Linked DNA regions of Caenorhabditis elegans. The protein of the gene in region 1 purifies or fractionates together with the protein of each later gene. This does not show direct contact. Each region holds a gene or a part of one and is shown in the gene's direction. Other genes may lie near its edges. The genes, in order: kal-1 and sdn-1.

The links.
Region 2: the proteins of kal-1 (region 1) and sdn-1 purify together in Caenorhabditis elegans (affinity purification with western blotting, with the first as the bait; one study listed by BioGRID). This does not show direct contact.

What each region holds. Positions count from the first base shown.
Region 1 is NC_003279.8:14,136,423-14,148,444, reverse strand, and holds the start of kal-1 (WAP-type 'four-disulfide core), read left to right. Parts: upstream 1-6,237; 5' UTR 6,238-6,240; coding exon 6,241-6,348; intron 6,349-12,022.
Region 2 is NC_003284.9:10,586,423-10,599,954, reverse strand, and holds sdn-1 (putative syndecan), read left to right. Parts: upstream 1-6,620; 5' UTR 6,621-6,676; coding exon 6,677-6,829; intron 6,830-7,092; coding exon 7,093-7,198; intron 7,199-7,331; coding exon 7,332-7,432; intron 7,433-7,486; coding exon 7,487-7,698; intron 7,699-7,844; coding exon 7,845-7,963; intron 7,964-8,368; exon of another isoform or gene 8,369-8,508; intron 8,509-8,582; exon of another isoform or gene 8,583-8,803; intron 8,804-9,424; coding exon 9,425-9,600; 3' UTR 9,601-10,185; downstream 10,186-13,532. Other genes in the region: F57C7.4 (PKD/REJ-like domain-containing protein), read left to right, coding at 10,417-10,686, 10,748-10,912, 12,047-12,211, 12,258-12,319, 12,365-12,522, 12,570-12,703, 12,753-12,882, 12,929-12,996 and 3 more. UniProt on the Caenorhabditis elegans protein: Cell surface proteoglycan that bears heparan sulfate.

The sequences.
Region 1 (12,022 bases):
ATATCGTTAGTGTGTAAAAAATTATACCGGTTTTTGATTAAACCTTCTCACAACTATTTTTGGGCGCTCACCTTAAAACTTGCGTAACTTAAAAACCACTGATGTTATCAAAATATTAATAACTAGTGAAATGTAGGAAATTTTACGCTGATTATTTTGTTAGTTAAAACATTTTTGATACCGTTAGTGAGTAAAAAGTTATGGTAATTTTTGATAAGAGCAGCTCACAATCATTTTTGGACGTACATCTTATAACTTCTGTATCTCAAAAACCACTGATGCTATCAAAATATTGTTAACTAGTAAAATGTAGGAAATTTTACGCTAATTATTTTGTTAGTTAAATTTGTTCTGCTAGCTTAAATGGGTAGGTAGTTACAACATCTTAAATGTTACAAGACTGGCTCAAAAAACTATGAACGCTATCTAAAAGTCGCCATCTAACAAAAATTTCCAAATGTTACATATGTATGTTACATTGAAAAGTAACATCTTTTCATTAAATCCACGAATCCCAGGTTTTTTTTTTCAATATTCCGTCTTAAAACTCACAAAAATCTATCCCCCGCCCCCTCCTCCAACTCTCCTTTCTTCTCCCAGCTCCTTATGAATTTCCAACACAAAAAAACACATTATTTCTTGCTCTTTTCATTAATTAGAGAGAGCCCAAGAGCCTATAACAATCAACATGAGTGCCCCCAAGATGAATTGAATTATGCGTCTTTTTTGTGGTCAGTTACCCCCCCCCCCCCCCCCCACTGATGGGTTCTGCTCCAGAAATTCGAGGCCTTTTTTGTTTATATTTTCCCCCATCCCCATCCCAATCTTTCATTTTTCTCTCTTCCGGAAACTATAATCCCAAACGTGTGCCCCACCAATTCCTATACTCTCTCGCGTTTTGCGAGTGCTAATCTGTTGGGGGATTAGGTGAGAAGTGCAAGGTTCGACGACGGCAACTCACTCAGTAGCCGCCTAAAAATTACTATTTCGTATTTGGAGCAAGAGAGCATCACCGGAAGAGCTGTGATATCGGAGAAGGCATAATTATGGGTTTCGAATATCCCCTATGCTTCCGGCTCGAGCTTTTCATCTTTTTTCACTTTAGTAGTACACCACGTTTCGGATTAGAAATTATGCGTTTTTTTCTGAAAATTTCATCGATTTTTTTCTATTTTTTGAGAGTTTTCGTCTCCTATCACTTTAAGTCCACTGCTTCCCCTTTTCATTTTGGGCCTAAAATTTTCAACCGGGCCCTATCAAATTAGGCCAAAAATAGGGTACCTCTATAGCAGTCCGAAACATCTGTCAAGGCCCGTTTCCGGGGTCCTCCTCTAGTTTGGGCCGGAAATATTGTTCGTGACCCGGTGACCGAGGTCATTCCTAAATTTTGGCCCAACTTTTGGCCTAAAATTTTTAGGGGGGGGGGGGGGGGGGGGGTTTCGGTTTCTTTCAATTTAGGCTTGGGCGTTTTTCTATTTTGGTCCAGAATTCTTAAGATTTTCGGTCGCCCCTTTTTTTGGCCCTGATATTTCGGTCACGGCCCGGTTTCCGGGGGCCCTCCTTTTCTTTGCCCCGGAATTTTTGTCCTCCGTGGCCCGGTTTCCGGGGTCCGCCTATTTTTTTCGTCTGGCTTTGAGGCCCAAACCCGATGGCCGGGGTCTCTTCAATTTCGGCTCGAAACCGGTAATCTTTTTTGGGCCGTTTTTATAATTACAGTGCTATACTTCCCGAATTTCAATTTTTAAGTAACTTTATATCTGAAAACAAGTATAATCCCGGTGGAGAGACCGGAAAACAAGACTACGAATCTCCTGTGAAATCCAAAAAATTGCTTTTATTTTTGATTTTCTCAAAATTGACTGCCAAGCCGAAATAGGCAAATAGGCAGGCAGGTATTTTATCTCTTTAGAGATTAAGAATCCGACTACAAAATAAATTGACATGTATATTAGTACAAAAATACCTACCTTCTTTACAACCCTCTATGGAATCTTCAATTAATAACCGTCTAATGGGATGCTACGGTCATTGTCCTCTCTCTCTCTCTCTCTCTCTCTCTCTCTCTCTCTCTTATTCTCGACCAATAAATTAATAAGAATACCCGGAGACAAAGGAGGGGAGCATTCATAGATAAATGGCTCAATTGTGTGTTACGTGTATGGAAGAGTGTCTGCGTCTCTACCTCTCTCTTTTTCTGTCGAGAAAGAAAAAATGACATAAGCAAAGGGTAAAAAGTGGCTCTTATTAGTTATGCACCCTTCCCCCGCCCAGTCACCTTTCACGCTTTTGGTATGTGGGAAGAGGACAAAAAAAAGAAAAAGAACAAAAAGGATAACAACTTTTTCAAAAAAAAGTTTGTCGATGCATCATGTCTCCCCTTAATTTGACAGCTTATAACTTGGTTCGTGTTGATGATATTTATGTAAAATAAAATACATATTATAGAAAATGGTGTAACAAATATTTTATAAATTGACAACTTTTTGATAGCACAAATACACGCCGAGATATGAGGCGTTAAAGATAAGCCCGGTTGATGCACCATGAGTAACCCAATTGAACGATCGATTTTCAAGATAGCAGCATGAAATAAATTTCATTTTATAGAACAAATGATTTAAAGTATTTTTTAAGTTGACAACTTTTCGATATCACCGAAAATAGCAGAATTAGAAGAAGCCATAGCTGAGCCCGGTCGATGTACCATGCCTCCTCTTACTTTGGCAGCTCATAACTCGCTTCGTATTGAAGATATTAATGTAAAGTAAAATACATTTTATAGAAAATAGAATAAAAAATATTTTTTTAGTGAATACCTTTTTGATATCACTAATTCAAAACGAGATATATTGGCCCTGTCGATTAGCCCAACTTATGAGTAGCCCAACTTAACGACCTGTATCTTGATCCATTTTAAAGATATCAGTATAAAATAAATTAAAAACTATAAAACAGGTAATATCAAATATTTTGTTAGTTGACAACTTCTTAATAACTCCAAAAGTTCCCGATTTGTGAGCTGTCAAAGATAAGCCCGTTCGATGCACCATGTTCGCGCTCCTACTCCTCTGGTAGGCAGATACGGTTTTATCGTACATCACCTTACCCTAAGCTGAATTTTACAATTTTTTTCAAAATTCCTGGCAACATTTTGTCTTTCGGACCCCCAAACATCTGTACTAGTCCGGGTTCCAAAAACACTACCCCCAGGCATTTTCCCTCCGCTGCTCATCTATATTTCATCCGTTTTAATCCCAATTTTATGGGGGTTGCATAATAATGCTCACCACAAAAAGATTACGTAATACCTGCAACAAGACACTTAACACTCTGGAGAGGACTAATCCTCTACTAGGATACATTGAAGTGGCCTAGCCCTGTTTAGGGGGGGGGGGGTCTAGATTCAATACAGATCCTTATAAGAAACCTCAGTTTATTGGTGTATGCTTTATACTTCTGATAGTGAGCTTTAATGTCAGAAGATCTATAAATTTTGTAGTTTGTAGTTTATTCAAACACGGTAAAATTTATTAGGAAGCTGTTTAAAGGAACATTCCCTCCCCTTTCCCTTGCCTTTTTAGTCCCAGCCACCAAAAATTGGTGATTGTTTGTTGTTTCCTCTGTCCCCCGGAATACTCGAATTGCCTGAAGAAATGGGACGTTTGACACACAATTGGTTTCTTTCTTCTTCCTTTCTTTTTTTTATTTTACTCTTCTCTTGTTTGTTTGTGGAGCTTTTCTTTTTCTGGAGCCGTTTGCTTTTTTGTAAAGAGCTCCTTTCCGATGACTCTGGACTGAAATACTTATTATAGATTCCTGAACTTATATATGTATTTATCAAGATTCTCACTAATTAAGTCCTAAGGGAGGCTATATTTTGAAAATGTGTGCACATAACTTCATTATTTACCTTCAAACATTAGCATTACTATAGATAAGCTGGTAAAATAAAATTGAAATTTCAAACTAAACCAGGCAAAGTACCTCTAAAAAAATAGAATTTTCTAAGAAATTTGAGCGAAAGTTTAAGTTTTCGGGAGAAAAAAAGCTTCATTTTCTGGCTTTTGAGCAAATTTTCAGCGTTTTTTCTACCTTAAAATTAATCAAAATAGGCTAATTTATAGCTAGTTTAGCAGACTTCAAGAGATTTTTTTAGCGAATCCGCTGAGTTACTTGATGCACCATGAGCTTTCACTTGAATTTTCAGAATTTTTTTGTGGTTTTGAATGTCTTTTCCTAAATTCCGAGAATTTGTCGATGCACCATATGTGGGTCATTTCGGCTTGATCTACGTAGATCTACAAAAAATGGGGGAGAAATAGGGCAGACTTCTCAACTGATTTCGCATGATTAAGAACAAAAAGAAATGCTAACATCACATTTTTTTGGGCGAAAAATTCCCGCATTTTTTGTAGATCAAACCGTGATTTTCAGCCTTTTTTTTTGGTCGATGCACCATGATTTTGTGAAGATTTTTGGGCAAGTTTCAGGGCTTTTTCTTGATTTTTCGATAAATTATTCTGAAATTCACCGTGTTAATCAATGCACCATAAGCTTTAAATTTTCAGATAATTTAGTAGATTTTTTTCGATGCACCATAAGCTTTTTTCCGGGGTCTTTGAATTATTTCATAGTTTGGAACGTTTTTTTCCCGCAAATTCTTAAAATTTATTGATGCACCATGTGTTTTATTCTAGATTTATTGCATTTTTTGTATATTTAAAGCCTTCTTCTATACATTTTTCAAACCTGTCGATGCACCATGAGCGTTCTTCTCGATTTTTAAAAAATTTTTCGTATAATAGTTTTGGAGGTTTTTTTCCCGCAAATTCCCCCAATTTATCGATGCACCATGAGCTTTTGGCCGGGGTTTTTGCAATTTTTCGTAGTTTTGAAAGTTTTTCCTCAAATTCCTAGAATTTGTCGATGCACCATGAGTGTTCTGTATTTCTCTGTGGTTTTGGTTTTAAACAGATTTTCAGACCATTTTTCAAATTATTATCGAAAAAATACGATCGCACAATTTTCTCATAATTTATTTTTGATCTACCTTGTTGATTAGGCTCCTCCCCTACCTTCTACAAGACAGCCACAACAAATTAACAACGGAAACAAGATTGGGGGCGGAGTCAAGTTCAACAGAGGTAGATCAAAAATAAATTATGAGAAATTTGTGCGATCGTATTTTTTCGATAATATACTCTTTTTCCTATCACCCTGAGCTCCCTCACCAAATCAGACTCTTCCCCTCTTCCTTCCCCCATCCTTTTCCTCCCTGCGTCTCTGAGAACGGATGGGCGGTTCTTTTGTCTCCATGCCCCTCCCATTTCTTGTCATTCCTCACCCCCCGTACCTCCTCCCTGGGCAATGAATTTAATATGTTTGTTTGGGAACGCGTGTATCATTTAGAGGCCCCCTATTGTTATTTGTCGTTTGTCATAATATTTTATTAGATTTTGGGGCGAATTTTTCCGGGTTCTACGGTCATTTTGTACAATTTTGGGTTTTCGTGGGGTTTTTTTTCTGAATTTTTGGCGGTTCCACTGGATCAGTCGATGCACCATGTGCTTTTTTCTGGATTTTCTGATTTTTTTTGTAGTTTTGAAGCCTTTTTCTGAAAAGCCTTTTTCTTTTTCTCAATGCACCATAACTTCTTTTTTTTTGAATTTTCGTAGTTTTAAAGGTTTTTTTTTGTAGATTTCCTTAATTTTTCGATGCATCATGAGCTTTTTTCTGAGTTTTTCTTAGTTTTGAAGGTTTTTTTCGTAGATTTTCAAAATTGATCGATGCACCGTGAGCATTGCCCTGAGTTTCTAACATATTTTTGTAAGGTTTTTGAGCATTTTTTGGTATTTTTTGTGTTATTTTTTAATTTAAAAAACGGAAAAAGATGTTAGAAACTTAGAGAACAACAGGGAAAGCTTAAAAATCACGAAAAATTCGAGAAAACTCGAGAAAAAATCATGGTGCATCGATAAATTTGTTAGTCGATGCACCATGTGCTTTTTTCCTTTTTTACATAGTTTTTATCGGATTTCTCAGCAGTTTTGAGCTTTTTGCTGTACTTTTCCTCATTTTTCTTCAATTTTTAACTCAAAAACTGCATTTTTACCCCCTAAAAAGCTACATTTATCTTCTTCTCCCCCTTCGCCAGTTCATAAAATATGCAAATTGGGCTCGTTAACTCTTTTAACTTCTTTTTTTCTTTTTTTTTTTTGCACATTTTTACTCTTACAGCACATGATTCTACTGCTGCTCCTATTCATATTGGGCTCCGTGAGCCCGGACGAGCTAATTTCGACTCGATGTCAGGCTCAATGCCTTCACTTGATGGATCAGAGGCTACAAGTGAGTTTTTGGAAATTGTTGGCTAATTTATGGGAAAAATTGAGCAAAAATCGATGCACCATGTCACAATCTAGGAAAGAGTCCTTATATCCATAACCACTTGGCTCTAGTACCTGTGACCTAGGCATATTGTCATTGTTTCATGCTCTCCAAATACCGACACACACACACATAGCGGCTCCTTTTCTCGGTTTTCAAGTGGATACCCCCCCCCCCCCCCCCGCCTAAATATACGACGACATGTAGAAGAACAAACATGTCAATCAAGGGCGAATTCCGGTGGTAGGAGATGTTGATAAGGGTAGACCTCCCCCAAAGAAAGTTTTGGGAGATTTACAAGCAAGATACTGTACAGTGTAATTTATGGGTGTACAAATAGAATTGATTTGGCGAATTTTCGGGATTTGGCGGGAAATTCGGATTTTTTTTTCTGGGGGAGTTTGAAGGGGATTTCAGCTTTTGGGAGCAATTTTCTGAGTATATAATTTGTCAGAAAATTCAAATTTCCCGCCAAAAAAATTACTCTGAAATTTTGAATTTCTCGCTTGAAAATATAGTTTCTTAGAAAATTCGAATCTACCGCTAAAAATTTGTTTTCTGAGGAAATGTTGAATTTCCTGCCAAAACAGTTCTTCTCAGAAATTTTGAATTTCCCGCCAAATTTTTTTTCACAGAAAATTTAAATTTCCCGCCAAAACTATTTTCTTTGAAATTTTGAATTTCCCGCCAAATTTGATTTTCCTCAGAAAATTTGAACTTTTGGCCGAACATGTAGCTTCTCAGAAAAATTGAATTTCCCGCCAAAAAATTGGTTTTTCTCAAAAAATTGAAATTCCCGCCAAAATTAGATTTTCAATGAAAATTTGAAATTCCCGCCAAACATTTTTTTAAAAAAATTTGAAAATCAAGCCAAAAATATGTTTTTTGACAAATTTGAATCTCCGCCAAAACTTTTTTCACATTTTCTACAGTAATACAGTTGCTGGCGGGAAATTCAAATTTGTAAATCATCTATTTTTGCTTTTTCCAGCCAAGACCATTCAAAAACCTAGCCCGCCAACTTATACGAGTCCATCGATACACCTTACGCAATTTTAGTACATTAAGCGGTACCTCTTTGTATATGAAAACATTAAAAGTGACTTGCGTAACGTGCTATCAAGATGGAGGTATTGGGTATTCAAAAAAGAAACATTGTTTCTTCTAGATAAAATCTAATGGAGGGGGGTGGGGGTAATAGCAGGGACCACTTCCTGCCAGCTGATGGGGGGATGGATACCTGACCTCCTCCCCTACAGGTGTCACATATACTACTCATTGTTGTTTCTAGATGTTGTAAACGATAAAAGTAAAGAGCAGCTGCGCGGGGGGGAATTGGGCTCTAAAACTAAATTAATGTGTTGTTTTTGTTGACTCTTACTAAGGGGGGATAGGGTGAGGGGTAGGGGGGAAGAGTCATAAAACTTGGTAGCTGGACCCACTTAATAACCCCTAGGAGGTCTCTCGGAATGTTATGAATAGACCCCTCTTCCGGTGTGAACTCTTCCCTATTGTCATATTCACACATTGTCCACACACACACACACACACAAACTTTTGTTCGAATAAGGAGGTCCGAGGTCGGCCAAGTGCACTCAAGAGTGCATTGATTTGGCCTTGGGAGGGAATTTTGGAGTTTTTGGGACAAATTTCCGGAAATTTGGGGGGTTTTTAGAAAAATTTCGCATCAGTTTTAGCCAAAATTCGACGAGTTTTATCTGTTTTATCATGGTGCAACCGGCCATAAAGGGCTCCTCAGTACTTCTATACAGTGTAACGAGTTTAGGACTGTTTTAGCAGTTTTAGAGTGAATTTTCACCGATTTTGAAAATGTTTAGGCTAACTTTTACCTATTTTGTCCAAATTTTGAGCTTTTAGGGGATTTTGATGATGGATTTTGAGGGAAATCGCAGGCTTTTTTGTGACATTTTGCACCATTTTTGGTCAAAACTCGGCAAGGGTTAACATGGTGCAACCGACTGTTCAGGGTGTCTAAGTGATTCTACACAGATTTTAGTGATTTTTTTGAAAATTTAATGTTTTTAGAGCAATTTCTCCGTGTTTTCAGCTAATTTGTTGGGCTAATTTACACATATTTTATCCAAATTTTGAGATTTTTCTAGATTTTTTGGGTGATCTGAACAGATTTTGACAGTGTTTGGGTAGGTTCGAGCTACTTTAAGCTGATTTTTCTGATTGATTTTTGATAGCTGATTTCGGTTAATTCCACATGCTTTAAGCTAATTTTCTCCGCTTTTGAGAGCCTTCAGGCTGTTTTTCTCCCAATTTTCAGAATTTTGAACCATTTTTCGACCTTGTCCATGACTTTTTATGAGGTGTGAAAAATTTCAAGAGTTTTCAAGCTAGATTTTCTGTTCCTTTTCTGCAAATTTTGATAATTTTAGACCAATTTAAAGCATTTTTAAGATACTTCAGTTCCAAAAATTCTTTAAAAATTCCTAAAAATCAGGTGACATCAGTTTCAATTTAAGCATAATTTAGCCCAGTGGGAACCAATTTTTTACTTTAGCCAATTTTTACCGTACCCCACCGTATCAGTTTCAAGACCACCGTACCGCGCGCAATTTACAACCTACTCGCTTCTCTTACTGACAACCGCTGTTCATGATTTACTGCGCGCATCAGGGCCAAGAAATTGTCACGCATCACAAACTCGACGGCAATTAGTTTTATGGAGAGACCCCTCCGCGTCTTCATTCGGATTTAGATTCCAATCTCTTTCTCAACACTACTACTACTACTTTTCATTTTGAAATCTCTTGAAAAGGAATGTGGTGGGGTAATAATTATAATAATGAATATATATTCATATAGAAGGTTCGGATTAAGGCAAAGATATTGGAAAAGGGGGAAGCTCTGCTGGTGTGAGGTCAGGTATATGTTAGTTTGGCGGCTCCTTTCCTCTTTTTTGCTCTAACGAACATCATCAATCAGTGACAATGACACGCGCTGTCGGAGGTCAAAAAGAGAGTGACTTTACTACTATGCTTTGCTAACGAAAAAAGTTAGTTAGTAGTTTGTGGGGGGACCTTCTCAATAATTAGGGGTTTGGTGGAGAGAAGAAAAGACATGAAAAAGAAGAGAAAAAAGTACGAATTGAAGGTCCTGGGGAGCAGAAATCTAGTGACTTTGGGGGTCTAGGGAGTCTAGGTTGGCCCTAGTTTGGTTAGGGTCAAAGCTGGACGGTCGGCTTGAAATGGGTGTTCTAAAAATCTAGATTGGCCTCTAAGCTTGTAGGAGACCAGGGAGGCTTTGCAAAAAAAACCATGAGCTTGATAGAGGTCTACTGAAGGCCTAAATTAGCTTAGACCATTTGGTTGAAGAAATACGTGCTCCCTGAGATCATGGATCCTGAGATCACTAGGACTCGGCATGGTAAGGCTTTTTTGGCTGGTGCACCTTAGGGTCTTCTAAGAGCCTATATCGGTTTAGACCCTATGCGCGGAGGAGTTCAGGCTGTGAAGGGTCCTAAACTCACAGCAGTATCCATACATAGCAAGGCTCTTAAATATGAGGTATCTTTTCACTCTGACATCTAAGTTCCCATAGGTATGGTACCTAGTTGATTTGCCAATTTTTCCTTTTTAAAATGTTACCCCTCGCCCTCTTGTCACCCTGTCACAATTTGTCATTCACCTGTTACCACTCCTCGTGTTCCCATTTGGTTATTGTAACCTTTCTTGCTAGATCATTATCGTAAGCACCCTTCTAGTTCATCAATCTTACCCTCCCCGGCGCCACGAAGGTTTGGCGCCAAGAGGGGGGGGGGGGGTCATAAATGAATTGACTCGGATACTATGTGGATTTAGTGTAAATTTAACGGAATCTGGCGGGGATGGATAAATGTTTTATAGACGATGGGAAATTAAAAATTTCCCTAATAAATTGGCCAGCGGAACATATGTGAGGATACGGGCAGGGGGGATGAGTTCTAGGTCTAGTTTTGCCAGGGGGCATCAGGGGGACCAGGAAGTATCAGGGGGACCAGGGGGGGGGGGGGGTATCAGGGGGACCCGGGGGTATCAGGGGGACTAGGGGGTATCAGGGAGACTAGGGGGTATCAGGGAGACTAGGGGGCATCAGGGAGGCTAGGGGGTATCAGGGGGGACCGGGGGTATCAGGGGGACCAGGGGGTATCAGGGGGACAAGAGAGGAGAGGGGGAGGGGGATGCCAGGGTTTTGCAAAGAGGGGTACCTTGTCAAGGGGGGGGGGGTGGGGTGGGGTACCAGTATCTTTTAAACGTTTTGTACCACATTCTGAAAGCACCGGTAAAGTGCAATACATGGCATTTTTACCGGAAGACCACAAAAAAGGCGGTAAAGTTCTAAACGTTTCTAAAACAATACGTGCCTATTAGAAAAAGAGGTGCTCTTCGCCTAATTACAGGTTAATTTGCACTCGGTTCAAGTGTTTTTTGTGTTATTGTTGGGGTAAAAGGAACAATGGACCGCCCGAATTATAACAAACCACCGTCCGAATTGTCATAAATTGTCCCAGACCCTGCCTCCATCTAACGCAATCTGCTGCTTATCGCCACCCCCCGTCACGTAACAAATCATTAGAAGCGCTTTGATCTGTGCTGGCGTAACCCACTTGAGATACAATATGCTAATGTGCTCACGGTGGCTCATTCCAAATTCATATTGAGCACCAAATCAGAGAGGTGGTGTCGATTCTCTCACGATTTGTTCCCAAAAGGAACGGGAAAAGTTCATGAAAAATTCAGGCGGGTATTGTTTTGAGGACTCGCGCAGCTGCTGGATGGATGGATGGATTTTTGGATTAGGTGGGGGGTCCTCTGGATAATAGGAAGTTTTGGTTTTTCTTGGAACACCGTGAAAACCACCGCAAAATCGACTAAATTTGTACAAAACTGCGATTATGAGAGGCCAAAGTCGTGAAAATTTACCGGACAAAAAGTGATGTCAATTTACATTCCAACCGATTTCCAGACTTCAAATGTTCCTTAACATGATCCAAAGTGCCCTAATTTCTATAGATATTCATTAAAAATTGCGATTTTTTGAGCTTAAAGTCGCAAAATCTTACACATCTAAATGAGCAAAAAGTGATGCCAATTTACATTGCAGAGTACTTTTGCTTATTTTGCAGATTTTGGGGTTCCCAATTTTCCCTGAAAACCCTCATCCATTCTCCTTACTCCAACTCCAACAACCGAACAAAAAACGGCGGGTATTAGATTCATGAGAACCGATGCATCAACGTCTCTCATGGTGCCAGATGGGTAACACGACACGAAGACGGTTTATGGCCGGCGGGGTTGGGGGTAAAAAGAAAAAACATTTGAGATTTCGACTTTTCGACAGATATTTGATACTTTAGAGGGGGTCTGTTTTACTTTTTTCAGGGGAAAATTTGGGTTTCTGTAGTGGGAATTTACCATGTTAGCGGAAATTTAAAGTTGTAAAGTTTGGACATTTTAAGGTAAAAATTTCGCTTTTGGAAAATTGGCAATTTAAAACAAAAAATTTGACGTTTTAGGGCCCAAATCAACGGTTTTGGAGTGAAAAATTGGCTTTCTTGGGTAGAAATTGACCATTTTGAGTAAAAATTTAGCCTATTAGGGTCAAAATCAACAGTTAAAGTTTTGGA
Region 2 (13,532 bases), on another chromosome or scaffold:
GCTTGTGATAAACGAATAAACGTCAGTGATTTTAAATTGTATCTTGGTGACAACGTTTTCAACACATTAACGCATTGAAGATTGATTTCAAAACCACAAAAACTGGAGTCAGAAACTTGGACACTAACCGGAATATTGGTAAGATAGGAATGTGATGGGGGAAGGAAGTGGAGGTGGGCTGATTGGTGATTAATAGTTTTGCAAATTCAAGATAACATTTCATCTTGTCATTTTGATAATAAAACTTTGAAATCAACGATTTTTTTTTGGAAACATTGAAGTTTTTGTTCAGTAAAGGTTTTAAAAATTGTTAATTGAATTTAAACATTGTAGAGTATGGAACATGTAAGAATTTTCTAGTTTTTCAAAAGTTTTAATTTGTATGAGAGTGTTACCTTGTCAGAATGATGACTAAAACTTTAAAAACTAAATACAAACCAGATGGTTGTATCTAGATTTTTCGTCATTATCATTTGCTTTGAGTATATTTTTACAAAATCTCAGCTGGCGATACTCTATCTTTTTTCCCATTTTGAAATTGTTTCCTTTTCAAAAATATAAATGTTCGACTATTTCAAAATACACAGATTTTTTGTTCCTGAATCAATGGGTATCAAATTTTAGTCAATGAATATTTTAAATATTCAAAATTAGAATGTTTCACTATTCAGATATGGAAAATATTGAAAGTAAATGCAATAATTTATGCCACTCTCAAACATTTCCATTCTTAAAACTTATATCAAATCGCAAGATTTGGCGCTCGTTTGTATTGATACATTTTATGGCTTTTGAGCGTCATCTGATTTATACAAATCTAACACCTTTCATTAAATTTTCAATTTCCTATTTTCTATTTATAATTGAGTACATTTGAAGTGTGTATTTATCAATGGCTCTATCAATTTCCGGGCAGCGAGACTCTTTCTCCTACTCATTATGAAAACAGCCACTGTTTGGACAGCCACTATGATACATGAGACGTTTGGCCGGATTCAAAGAAATAGCTGAGATGATGGTAGGTGTCCAGCTGAGAATACCACTTTGTGTCGTCATTCGAACCATATATCTCCCTCCGTCCACTCGATACAATCTGTTCGAACGGCTCTTTGTGTTACACCCATTTTGCTTACTTGAGTATCTAGTGCCTTTCCACTAGATCGATCTGTTTAACAATGATTTTTTTTTGAAATAAAAAAAACACTTTGCGAAAAGTGTTCGGGTTGTTGAAGAAAAGTGGATAGGTGGAGGTAAGGGTACTCACTAGATTTTATCTGTTTGAAACGTAACTCATTCTGTCTTACAATGTCTCACAGTGTCTAGCAGAGGTCATTCCGTCATGTGTTCTTATAATTTTCTTGGTGTTTTTAATTTTGGGGATCGCCCCAAAGTTGTATTTTTGAGCATTATTGTAATTCAATTATTTGCTTTTGAAAATTGTGAAAGTTGAATCCCTGTATTATGGATGAGTTTATAAAAAACTTTCCGTACAAATTTTCATTAATTTTCAAATACTGCACATTTTTTGAAACTAGCAGTTTCATTATCACTCTTTAAAAATTTTAGGTTTGAGCCTTGCAACATGAAACATTAGTTGGTAGTGTTCAGTGGCGCTTCACCTGATAGCGCGTAACGCAAACTATTTTGTTGATAACCAAACCATGATTTGTGATATCTTGAAACATCGTCTCTATATTCACATCTTGAAAATTCATAAACGTATGTAAGTCGTAGTTTACAGTATAACATTCAAAGATTTCTTGAGAATAATTTCTTAGTCAATGTTAATCTTGAACTTGATAGAATCACCGTTGAAATCGCGGAAAAAAGGTAGATCCTGTATTTGGAGCATTATAGGTCCTAGTACGTACGATATTCAAACATTTATGCGCATCAGCTCTTGTCGTTTTGCATTGGTTTTTGGTGTTATCAGCGGCAACAGTGTTGCACTTCGTTCTGCATATTTGTTTTAGTGATAAGTGATAACCCAAAAAATGTTGAGGCTATATGTTATTGTTCAACAAACAACCCCGTTCAGAGGTGTGTAACTGTATGTATTAGCGTAAAATTCAACCAATGGACGCACTCCTTCATCACCCGTCCTCCCTTTTCTTCGCGCGTAACGGAGTCAGATTGGAGGCAGAGGGTCAGTGAGTGGACCCTATTGCGGTAACCTTTTTCTCCCTCCCCGACAACCCGTCCTCGCGAGTCCATTCGGACAGTGCTAAGAAATTGGAGACGCAGACACAAAAGACTTGGTAGAGATGAATTAGCAGGCTGAAGAAAGGGAGAGGCTAAGAAGGAGAGAGAGTGCTCACTACTCGGATCGATCGTCTTCGTCGTAATGCTAATAAAACAGATGGGCCGTCGTCTTCGGGTTGGGACTATTTGTCTCCTCACCACCAAACAATATTTGTCTGATATTTGACTTTCACTACTTGTAATGGGCGTTTTCGCGCATTAAGTTATCACCTATCTCTCCCACGTTTCCCAACTTTTTTTCCTGAATTTTGAATATTTCATTTCGTCAAACTCACTTCTTGCGAAATTTGCGCCGCTTTTACAAGTGACTATTATAGATATCAATTGCGAAATGCTTACCTTAATTTAAAAAATTTCAAAATGTCATCCGCAACAAGTGGGATATCAGCATCTTGTTGAAGCCAACGACTTTACACTCATGAGAAACTCGTCTCCCTTTTTCTCATTTTTTCTTCAGAGCAATATGAACAAAAGATGCGATTTCTCACTTCTCCCATTTGTTTTCTCACTTTTTCACGACGGGTTTTTGTTTCATTTGAACTTGGTTTCAGATTTCAAGAACTAAGATTGATAAGGTTGAAAGCTTGTCTACTGAAAGTTCCCTTTTCTTTAAAACAGCAATACGAGTGAGCAAAATGTTATAATTTAGTTTAAATATTGACTGATCTTGACAAAATACGTCTTTCTTTCAAATCTCGAAAGTCCCTTTAAATGTTTTTTGTTTACGACAGAACATATGTCATTAAAATTCTTTTTAAATCTTCAATATAAATTGAACAACTAATTTCAATGATTTCCAAAACTTTCAATTAATCCGTTAACCATTTCAAGTACACATTGCCAATTTCGGAACGCTTATGCGGGTGACGACGTAGCGCATTTTCGTGTGTATGTGTGTATGTTGACGTCGTCGTTGTGCGCGCAGGGGGGCGAGGGCCAAGCATTTGCATACCATTTCGCCTTCAACCGCCCTCTACCACCAAACATACACACGCAAACGCATCAATCGCGGGAGTCTCGGGTACCCTACGTCTTTTTTCTCTTTTCTCTATTTCCTCGAAACCGCAGTGTGATCCCGCTCTGCCTTTTTTGGCCGTTTATTACCTCCTCTGGTGCCCCTTGCGCGTGTTTCCGTTTTTGTGCTGTCCGAAGGAGATTGCGATTTTCTATTTTATTCTCCTTTTTCTATTCTCTGGTTCAATCATTTTTCTTTCTGTTTTTGGTCAAATCCTAGATAACCAAATTGTCGCTATTAAAACGAAAAAAAAAACGGGCACCAGTCAAAAAAGAGACATCAAATTTCTTCTTCCTTCTGCTGAGCAAACCCAAACACTTTTTTCGTTTTCTTCAAATTTCCATCGATCAGTTTTATCTATATCTTCTCTATATATTTTTCAATTTGCTTCTCACATTTGAAGGATGAATTCACTTTATTTCAAGTTTATGTAGCATTTGCGTTGGAATTTTTTGGAGAGCAAAAAGAAAAGAACAGATGGGGAAACTGCCATCTGCCTCAATTTGCAGCAGATGCTTTTAGGTACTGTTCAGGCGAAACATGTCGTTTTTCATGTTTAGAATTTGTATAATCGTTTTTTTTTGTTTTTGTTGAAGACTTAAGGAAGAAATTTGAATAAAATAGTAGCTTTAGGTGTTATTTGAATAATTATCAAAACCTCCTTTAAATTTTTGGCACTCCACAAAACTTTTGTTTCAAACAACACTACACCTTATAATTTAAAACGTAACATAAACTATTCGGAACACACAAAGCCGAAAAGTTCTCAATTTTTTTAATTGCGTTCCCAAATTTTCTTTCAGAAATTAAACTGAAACAATCAGTATCAATTGACAATAAATTGCCAACTTGTCAGTTTTATATTACATACTCTCAAAATATCTAACCTGAATTTGAAAAAAAAACATGGCATAAAAAAAATTATAAAGCGGTGCTACTTTTTTTTTATGAATTGGAAACTTTTAATCCCCAGCTGATTTGGTTGTCATTTCTTTCTTTTTTAGTACATTATTATATTTCTATTCATTCGAGAAAAACATTTTGAACTCCGCTTACTAATAAAATGAAAACCTAAAAACTGTACTTCCTATTCATAATTTGTAAAATCTATCTGCTTGCAGTACTCCTACATAATAAGATATACTTGTTGACCTGTTCAATGACGTATTGAACGCGTTTTAGTTTTTGCTCTGAACAAATAAAGCTTTCCCTAAAATGCTCCTCAAAATAAGTCCGCAAGGAATTAGTGCAAGACTAGAAGGATGCAAGATAAATATTAAAAAATACAGTTTAACCCTAAAATACAGTTTAACCCTAAATTAACCCTAAAATTTTTAATTTTTCCACATCACTCAAAACCAATTAAATGACACAATAAAAACTTGATGAACGGATATAACCTGTCTCTTCCTCTCACCTTTTCCTATTCAATTTCTTCTTCAGTACTCTCCTTCTACTCATCAACTACCGCATTAACTTGTCACGTCTCAATTTTCCGCGTGAATTATCGTCAATCGATCCGATCCAACCGATGTGATTGAAAGAGGGCATTCCTACGTTCATTCACATATCCGCCCTCAAAAACTGGTATCGTGGCCCCTGAATAACTTTGCTCTTTCTGCGTTTCATATGGCATCTGTGTCACAAGTCCGCCTCTTTCCGTTGCCGGCAGGGCGTACACCCTTTTAAATTTGTTCGGATGCGGAGCAGTAGAAGCGAAATTCGGTGTATGCGTATGTGATGCGGATGCTACGAACACCAAACCAAATGCAATTTGTGCGCGCCTTACTGCTCTTTTCTCATTTCGTTGGCCCCTTCCTATTTGATGAAAAGAGAGGAAAGATCCGAGTTTTTTTTTGCCTCGAGGCAAGCTTTTTGGCAATAGTAATTTGAAGAAGTAGGTTCAGTAACTCACACGAGCTCTCAGAGCTTCTCGTCTCGTCTCAAGAGTTTTTCTCTTAGCCGGGGAATGTATTTGAATAAGAGATTTGTTTTGACCATCTATACATTCACAAACTATTCTCTATTACGTTACTGCTTTTGCACAACAACTTTAGAATTGTTGAATTAACAGTAATTGCTTTTCAAAAGTAAAGTGAGAACAAAGAAATTGGTTAACTTGTTCAAAACGTTCATTTTTTACTTAGTTTAATTTAAATCTTTGTTTATTTATTTCTGTTATACGGTCAAATGTTTCTAGACGAAATTCAAATTATAAGTTCCACATTCTCAACGAACATATGTTTTAAAAGTTTATTGAAAATTAAAACTTTTGATATTCACAATTCAGTTAAATTTAAATTTCATTATTTTCCGACAAAGTAAATTTTCAGCAAGAAAGTTTGTATATGTTTCAAAAGTTGCCCTTCTATGTTTACAATCAGTGATAATCACGAGACCAGGGATATATAAAACGGAAGCAGTCCTAAACGAGGTCATCATCTGGGAGGCGCATACTAGGCGCAACTTGCCCTCTCCCGTCCCGGGGTGTTATCTGATTCCGTTTCCTTTGTTTTGTTTCACTTTCGATCCTATAACTCTCTCTCCCTTTTCTGCATCCTGAGAAGATGTTACCTTTCCCATGATGATCCTCAAACATCACTACGCTCCATTCTGTCTGGCGCAGAAGTGCTTCTTCTAATTTCATGGAGGGTCATCTAGGCTGGCAGGACGCAAAGGTTTCGACACGAAATTTGTTGAGGGCAAGAAAAGAAAAAGCCGAGATAGGGAGAGTCGGAGAGAGACAAGACACCCGTGGCTTGCTTGCCCATCTCATTACGCACTGCGGTCGGGAGGGTCCACTCGCGGAGGGCTTTACCCTCTTCGTCGGCTCTCTTTAATTTATCCGCTTACCCTCTACTGCTACCCTTTTCGACTTACTTGACCAGTCACCCCTAACGTCCCGTTACTTTCTTCTCCTTGCTGTTGAGTAATACTTTCTTTCCCAGTCTGTTTTCTCCTTTTTTCTCGTTTTTTAATCAACACATACACAGATAGACACACGGCGAGGAGAGAATAGTTTTTATAGCTTTTTGCTGTCTTCATCAATATCTCAAACTCTTATTTTTCTTCATTTTCTCCTTTTTCTCACCAATGCTGTAAATACCATTTTGTCTTTTCTCGGGTTCACCGTTTGTATCGTTTTACTCGTTTTACTCCACCTCTTTCAATTCTCCAATTGTTATATTCCCTATTCTGTCATTGTACCACTACCAATCCAAATTTACGATAACCCCCTTTTCTTTTAGAACCCTTTTGCCGTACACCGCCATTTCCTCTGTTTTCATTTTGCCGTTCCACTCAACCTTTTCCTCCTCCACCACAACACCAATTGCTTTTTCAGGGGTAAAGAGAGTTTCCAAAGAGATGCCGGTCAGGTGATTACACCAACAAGACAATATGATTCTGAAACTCAATTTCTGCCTGTCGACTTACTCGGTCCTCATTCTCCTATCCTTATCTACACAAGCTTTCGCCGCAAATCAAGCAAAAACGAAAGTGGTCCCTTCGTCAACTATTTCTACGAAAAGCTTGAAAAATGGAATATCTGAAGTAAGTTATTATATAAATTTATCATAATGTTACAATACGATACTACGAAATTCATTCACCAGCGCACTTTTTGTTTGCGCAAAGCAGGCTCGAATCTGAAGCGCGGCAAATGCGCACCAAAATATTTGCATTATTCAAACAGATATAATGGGCGATGGAGCGCGCGTAACATAAATAATAATATTAATAATAATAACGAATAATATTTATTTAAATAATATAATAATAATATTGGCAATATGAATAATTTGAAACTTTTGCAGCAGGTCGAAGGAAGTGCAAACATTCCCGGCAGGTTAGCAGACATCGAAGTCAATGGATCCGGCTACCCAACCGACGACGAAGACGGTGATGATGTCCATGGGTCAGGTGGGTATTTTGAATTGTTCTTGACAACTGTGAGAAATCCTGTTAGAAAAGCGTTAGTCCAGATGCAAATTTAATTGTGTGCGCCGCTTGCAGTTTTCAATCTGTGACAGACAAATTTGAAAACCTTTTTTAGGCAAGCCGCCATCTTCAGCTACCACAAAATCGGACAAGGTTACATCTCCAAGCCATGCTGTTGTGACTGCAAAGCCGACAACGGTACCTACTACTACAGCGGTTTGTGTCGGCTTTTTCTTTTGATGTGTTTTACCGCAATCTTTCATTCTTCAGAGCTTCAAGCCTCCTGTTCAGCCCAAGCCTAAGCCAGCGGCAAACGACAAGGAGATCAAGGTCGAGGAGGACGAGGACGATGATGAAGATGAGGATGAAGATGATGAGGATGATGAAGAAGATTTTGCTGATGAGAATATTCATAATGATGAAGATTTCTTCACAACTACTACTACAACAACGTATCGACCTATTGTTGTAGCTACCACCTCGTATGTTTTTCATTTGAACAAAAAACAAAACTATTCTAATGCCCTCCAGGGCCCAGGATTTATGCATCTAGAAATGTATTAATTATCTTGTCAATCAACAAATCCCCGAAAACATCTAGCAGCCAATTTAATTTTCAATTTTCCAGAACGCCAAGGTCAGCAGCCACAAATCCACCTCGACAGCAGCCACCAATGGTCACATCAACCATCTCATCTGGACCATTCTCGCCATTCCATGAGACACTGGCAAATGGCTTCTATGCAGGTATGTGTGAAGCAAAACTCATTTCAATTAATTTTGCATTGGGACCTTTGATCGTCCGGAGTGTAACTATCATTAGTGGGAGCAGATGCAAATGTACATAAATCGCCCGGTCAGTGTGATGGCGTCGGCGAATGATTTGTTGCGAGATGATAAATTGATGTCTTCTCGTCAATCGAAGGCAACACGGTTGCATTCAATATATTCGGCCACTGTATTCCGGGGGAATATGCTGCCTCAAGCCTATCCGTTCCGTCTGTTCCGGATGGGCAAATATACACAAAAATATGAGACTTGCATAAAAGTATGCATACTTTTTGCATTCCGGACACTCATCCCGTCCATTTTTCGCGACCAGTCTATCAATCAATGTGTACAGCTCGAGGATGTGCTAGTTTGTTGTCGAGCTGTTTCTTAATGACAGATGGCGTGGCCTCTTCTTCGTCTTCTTGTGCTTGTGTCACAGAATGGGGACCCCTTCGTATGAATGATGCACCACCACACATACTCTTCTTTCCCCCATGTGTCTAATTATTCCTGGTGGGAAGACGATGAGAGCTCTTCTTTCTTATTGAAAGAAACCAACAAGTATTGGTGAATGACACGCCAGAAATTATATTATTGAAAACGGAGAGATGATGATGATGATGAGGATCAAGATGGGTCCAAATTATATATGAGTGCCACTGAACGAGACACTTCTCAAGTTTTCTATTTTGGCGCAAAAATGTAGGAAGAGATGTTTAGTTTTTTTCTTTCCACAACACTTGCTTTGAACAAACTTTTTTGTGTTTACTGCCTTTTGTGAGGAAGTACAGATGCCTTGAAATGGGTTTTTAAAGAAAACATAGACCCCTTATGACGCGTGTCTCAAAATGTGGGGAAAGACGAATTGTTCAGTAAAGTTGACATCTCTTCTCAAAACTTGCTATGCTTTCTTCTTTTGTGGTTATCAAAATCTGAGCAGCATCCCACATCTAACAAAGGAGCCCCAGCTCTATTCTCTTGAGAAAAAGGGCCTGAGGTTCGGGATGGTGGGACGGAAGCCGCTGAAGAAAGAAGGAAGGCAAGGTCAAGGGTCGCATTTTGTGCATATTTGATTTTATGACACTGAGTGGAGGAAGTGTCTGTGAGGAAAAGGGGAACCTTTTGAATGAAAGGTTTTGAGAGAAGATGACGGTTTTGAAAGGATTTAGTGAGTTGGAAAGGAAAACTAAAATTTTTTTTCACTTAGTTACAAAATTAAACTCTTATTGAAATTATTCACTACCAAGAAAGTTCAATTTAGGACAATGCAATATTTCTTACATGCATCGCATTACTGATATTATATGTTGTCCTTACGGGTTGAGATCATAAAAATATGTTTGGAATAAAGCACAAAGCTTATTTATTTTTTAGTAACGAAAAGATTTAAAGTTGTAGAATTATCTATTTTAATTTGATTTAATTTGATATTTTCAGCTATTGCCGGAGGTGTTCTCGTTGCGGTGATTACAGCCATTCTACTCGTGCTCTTTGTAGTCTTTCGAATCAGGAAAAAAGATGAAGGGTCATACGCATTGGATGAACCCAAGCAAGCAAGACCATATGCCTCGTATGGTTATACCAAAGCATCGACAAAAGAATTTTACGCGTAATCTCTACTGTCATTTGTTCAAAATCTTCTATCACTCAATCACCTTTCAAATCATTTTTATGATTCTGTTCTCAGACTTCATTCCAATCTGCCATACCTTTCAATTTGTTTTTTTCCCACTCCCATTTTTTTCAAACCCTCCCCCCCCCCGCCTTCCTTTCGTAAAGGTCATTACTCTCTGTTCTACTCGTGATAATTTGATAATATAAACTGATCTGACTCCATGGTGCCAAATATTTGAATATAATCTTTTGTAGACCCACTTAGGGGTAGGGATGCATGTATCTTTGACTCAATTTATACTATACTCCCTTGTTACTATAATGTGCTCATATTATCCTATTCTAGAAATTTCCACCTAATTTCCAAAATCCCTCAACACTCTCACGCGGTTTCTCTGGTTTCTGATGGCACTTATCTGCTAGAGTTTTTTGTTTCAAAACTTGCCTCTTGAAATTTGTACTTTTTCTTGTTTTATCCGTTTACCTTTTTCTTTCCAATAACATCTTCTGTAACAATTTGAGATGCTCACATATTTTATGTATTCAAATTTATAAATATAAAAATATTACATTAATGTTCCAAAACAATATAAATAAACAAATAACGAAAGAAAAATGATCATGAGAAATCTCACATGGACAATGAAATAACAAGAAGAAGGAAACGAAGCCTTAAATTGAAAATAACGGGTTTCCATAGAGACAAAATAAAGCTGCGCGTTTTTTCAATCAGAATACGTAAAACTTTTTTGCCTCGTGCACTAATACTTTTCGAGCTTTCTTTTTTGGCTTCGGTTGCCATGTAATTTTTCTGAATGATAGAAGAGCGCCTATTGAAGTATTTGTTATTACTGTTCCTAATTCTTGGATTCTGCGAATGTAAGATTCTCAATCAATGCTATTCATCTGGAACAAGCTGTATTCGGTTTGAAAAAGCTTATTTTGAATTTGTGGACACTGTTCAACTAACCAGCGATAATGTGCCAACTCTAAAAGACAACGCAGGAACAACATCAACTCGTGTTGTGCTCAGTGAGCTTCTAAGTCATTTGGCATTCAATCATAGTTGGACACTTGCCGCATTGGTTAGCTTCCTTTTCGAAAATTCTGAATAATTGACGAACACGCAATTCAATTTGCATTCAGGTGGTCAACGCAGGCACACGCACTGACGTTCAATGGAAAATAGCTCCTGATGAGACAAGTGAGCATCCAATTGAAATAGACGATCCAGATGGATATGACAATCCGTTTCCTAATGCGACAGTTCATTGCGTCGACATTCAAAATTATGCTGATGACGCAAAACGGGTAAGTATTGGTCATGTCTCATTCATCTTCATTTTGAAGGTGTCTCCGAATGGTCTTCTTGTTACCACATAGAACCATATAAAATATATGAGAACAAAAAACGAAAAAAAAACGTATTGAAAGATGGGAATAGGAACCATATGGTTGTAATGTAATGGCGCGTTTCGTGTCGCCGTGTGTGTATGTTCAAAATGCGTCAAAGACCTTGTGAAAGACCAACTGCTCTTGTCTTTTATTTCGATTATGCAAAGGGTGTGAAATTGAAGGTGTATTGGTAGTGAGAAAATTGATTCTGTATTTAAGTGCCTTACACTTGATAGTCGGGGGAGCAACCAATATATTCGACTTTGACATTAAAAAAAACCTTACTGGTGTATCAGAGACCGGCACTTTTAGAAGTAAATTTTTGAATGAAAACGTAAGGATAATTTTTGAATTTTCAGGCTTTGAAAATAACATTACAAAACCTAAATATATCACGTTTAATTTGAATGTAATAATAAACAAAAAATTGAAAATTTTTGAAAATGCAGGGAATCAATACAACAGTGCCAGGAACGTTATAATTAAAAAGTTATGTTATATGGAAAAATGTGAAACACATGTTATATCTGCCACAGGTTTATACATGTTAGGTTTTTTAGGTAAAGTACATGCTTATTGTTATAGTAAAAACATCAACAATAGAATAAACATTATAATAGTTCAAATCAATTATGCACGTGTCGATGCTAATCCATCGGTCACAATACTTATAGTAAACACATTTTTGTGCTGTTTTACACAACAACAATGAAGAAACGATAATAGTTTAGTAAAATTATTTCCATTGGAATAGTGATTACTTTTTCAGAGCCCAATATTTAGATAACTTTTTAAAGCCAAGTTGATGCGTCATATGATAAAGCAGAAATATACAAGAGCGTGTTGTATCAAATATCCTGGATAAATTGAATTTAGAATCTTAGGACTATTATCAATGATGAGTTTAGATCCCCATCAAATTTGCGGATTTATTATAGTAGAAAGTTCCAGTAACAACATTGATCGGTTGAATTATTAAACTACATTTATAAAAAATAATTTTAAATCGTCTTTTAATACCTCAATTCTTTCTAACAGTGGCATTTTCAGTTTTTGGTAGTACCACCCAACTACAATTTCTTTTTTTCTGTTAATGGCTCCGCTTCCATAAACTGTTCAAAAAGTGGGATTTCAATTATTCCGTTTGTTTGGGATGATACCAGTAGGGCAAGTATACGAGGAATGTCCTATTTTTCTTCATCACCTTGCTCTAGTGTGAGATTGACAAAGATCAAATATATTTTTTAATTCTTCAATTTAGGAATGCCTCGTGTTGCCTATCCCAACATTGTTGGTTAGATTCTGCCCAAATGTCAACAACAGGTACAACTAACTTATATTAAAAATTATAACTATTTTTTAATACAGCAATTTGGAAATTCACATTGATAAAGTTGAAGATTTTACTGCCGAGTTGTCTGATGATTTACTTGGTATAAACATTCAAAAGGTTAATGATTCAATTGAATTTCCAATGGGCATTATGAATTGTGAGGTTTTGATGGAAAACTCTTCCATTCTCGGAGGTAACTAGTTTTTCCACCAAATCATTCATAAAGTACATATTATTCAGAAAACCCTATTTGTCTGGGAGATGGGGCAAATGTCGCCATTAAATTTGGTGCCAATCCAAAGATCGGCATACTACAAGAAGTGAAAACAAAATTCTCACCTCGATCAGCATTTCTCAAAAGTCCAAAAAATGCGGTAAATTCTCATTGAAGGGCAAATAAAATTGAAAGGCGCACAGTTGCAGGTGTATCCAAACTTTACAGTTTCCCATGAAAAAGAAGTGGCTACATGTTCTAATTCAACAACGTTCGAAGTAAAACAGATTTCAGGGAACGGCTTCATGCCTTTGAGTTTTCAGTGGACTATTTTGAATGGTTGGATTTTTTTATAATGTAATATCAATCAACTTCATAAATTAAGGTACCTTGGATATGGAAACCATTGCAAAAGCCGCAACAGAAAGACTTCTGGAAATCCCCAGTCATCATGTAAGATATAAAAATAAAACTTGATTTATTTTATTTTTGAAGCTATCAACAAACAATGTGATACTGGTCACCGGGTGTAATGTAGCGGAAAAATGCACTTCAAGTGGACCAATCTATACCGCACTTGTTGATGATGCATCAGTGTTTTCAGTTTCTATTGATGGTACTTGATACTTTTTAAAATGTTGAGTAAACTCAAATTATTCTAGGCGTTGAACAAGAAACCCCTGCTTCATTCGGTCTTCGTCTCCGTGCAAACCCTACTTTTAAGCAATGCAGCTCCAAAACGTCCCCAAAAGATGTTCAGGTGTTTCAATACATAAGCTTTAAAAAATGACATTATTTTTTTCAGTACGAGTGGAAATTGAATGGGGAAGGCAAAATGTATGATGACGGGCTCAAACTACCGGCTTATTCATATTCTGTGAATGAGCTGGTTAATGTTACACTGATAGCAAGATACAGTTACGAAAAACCGTACTCTTCAAGTTCAACAAAGACCATACATGTATGTTGTTAAACTTGCAACTACTGTT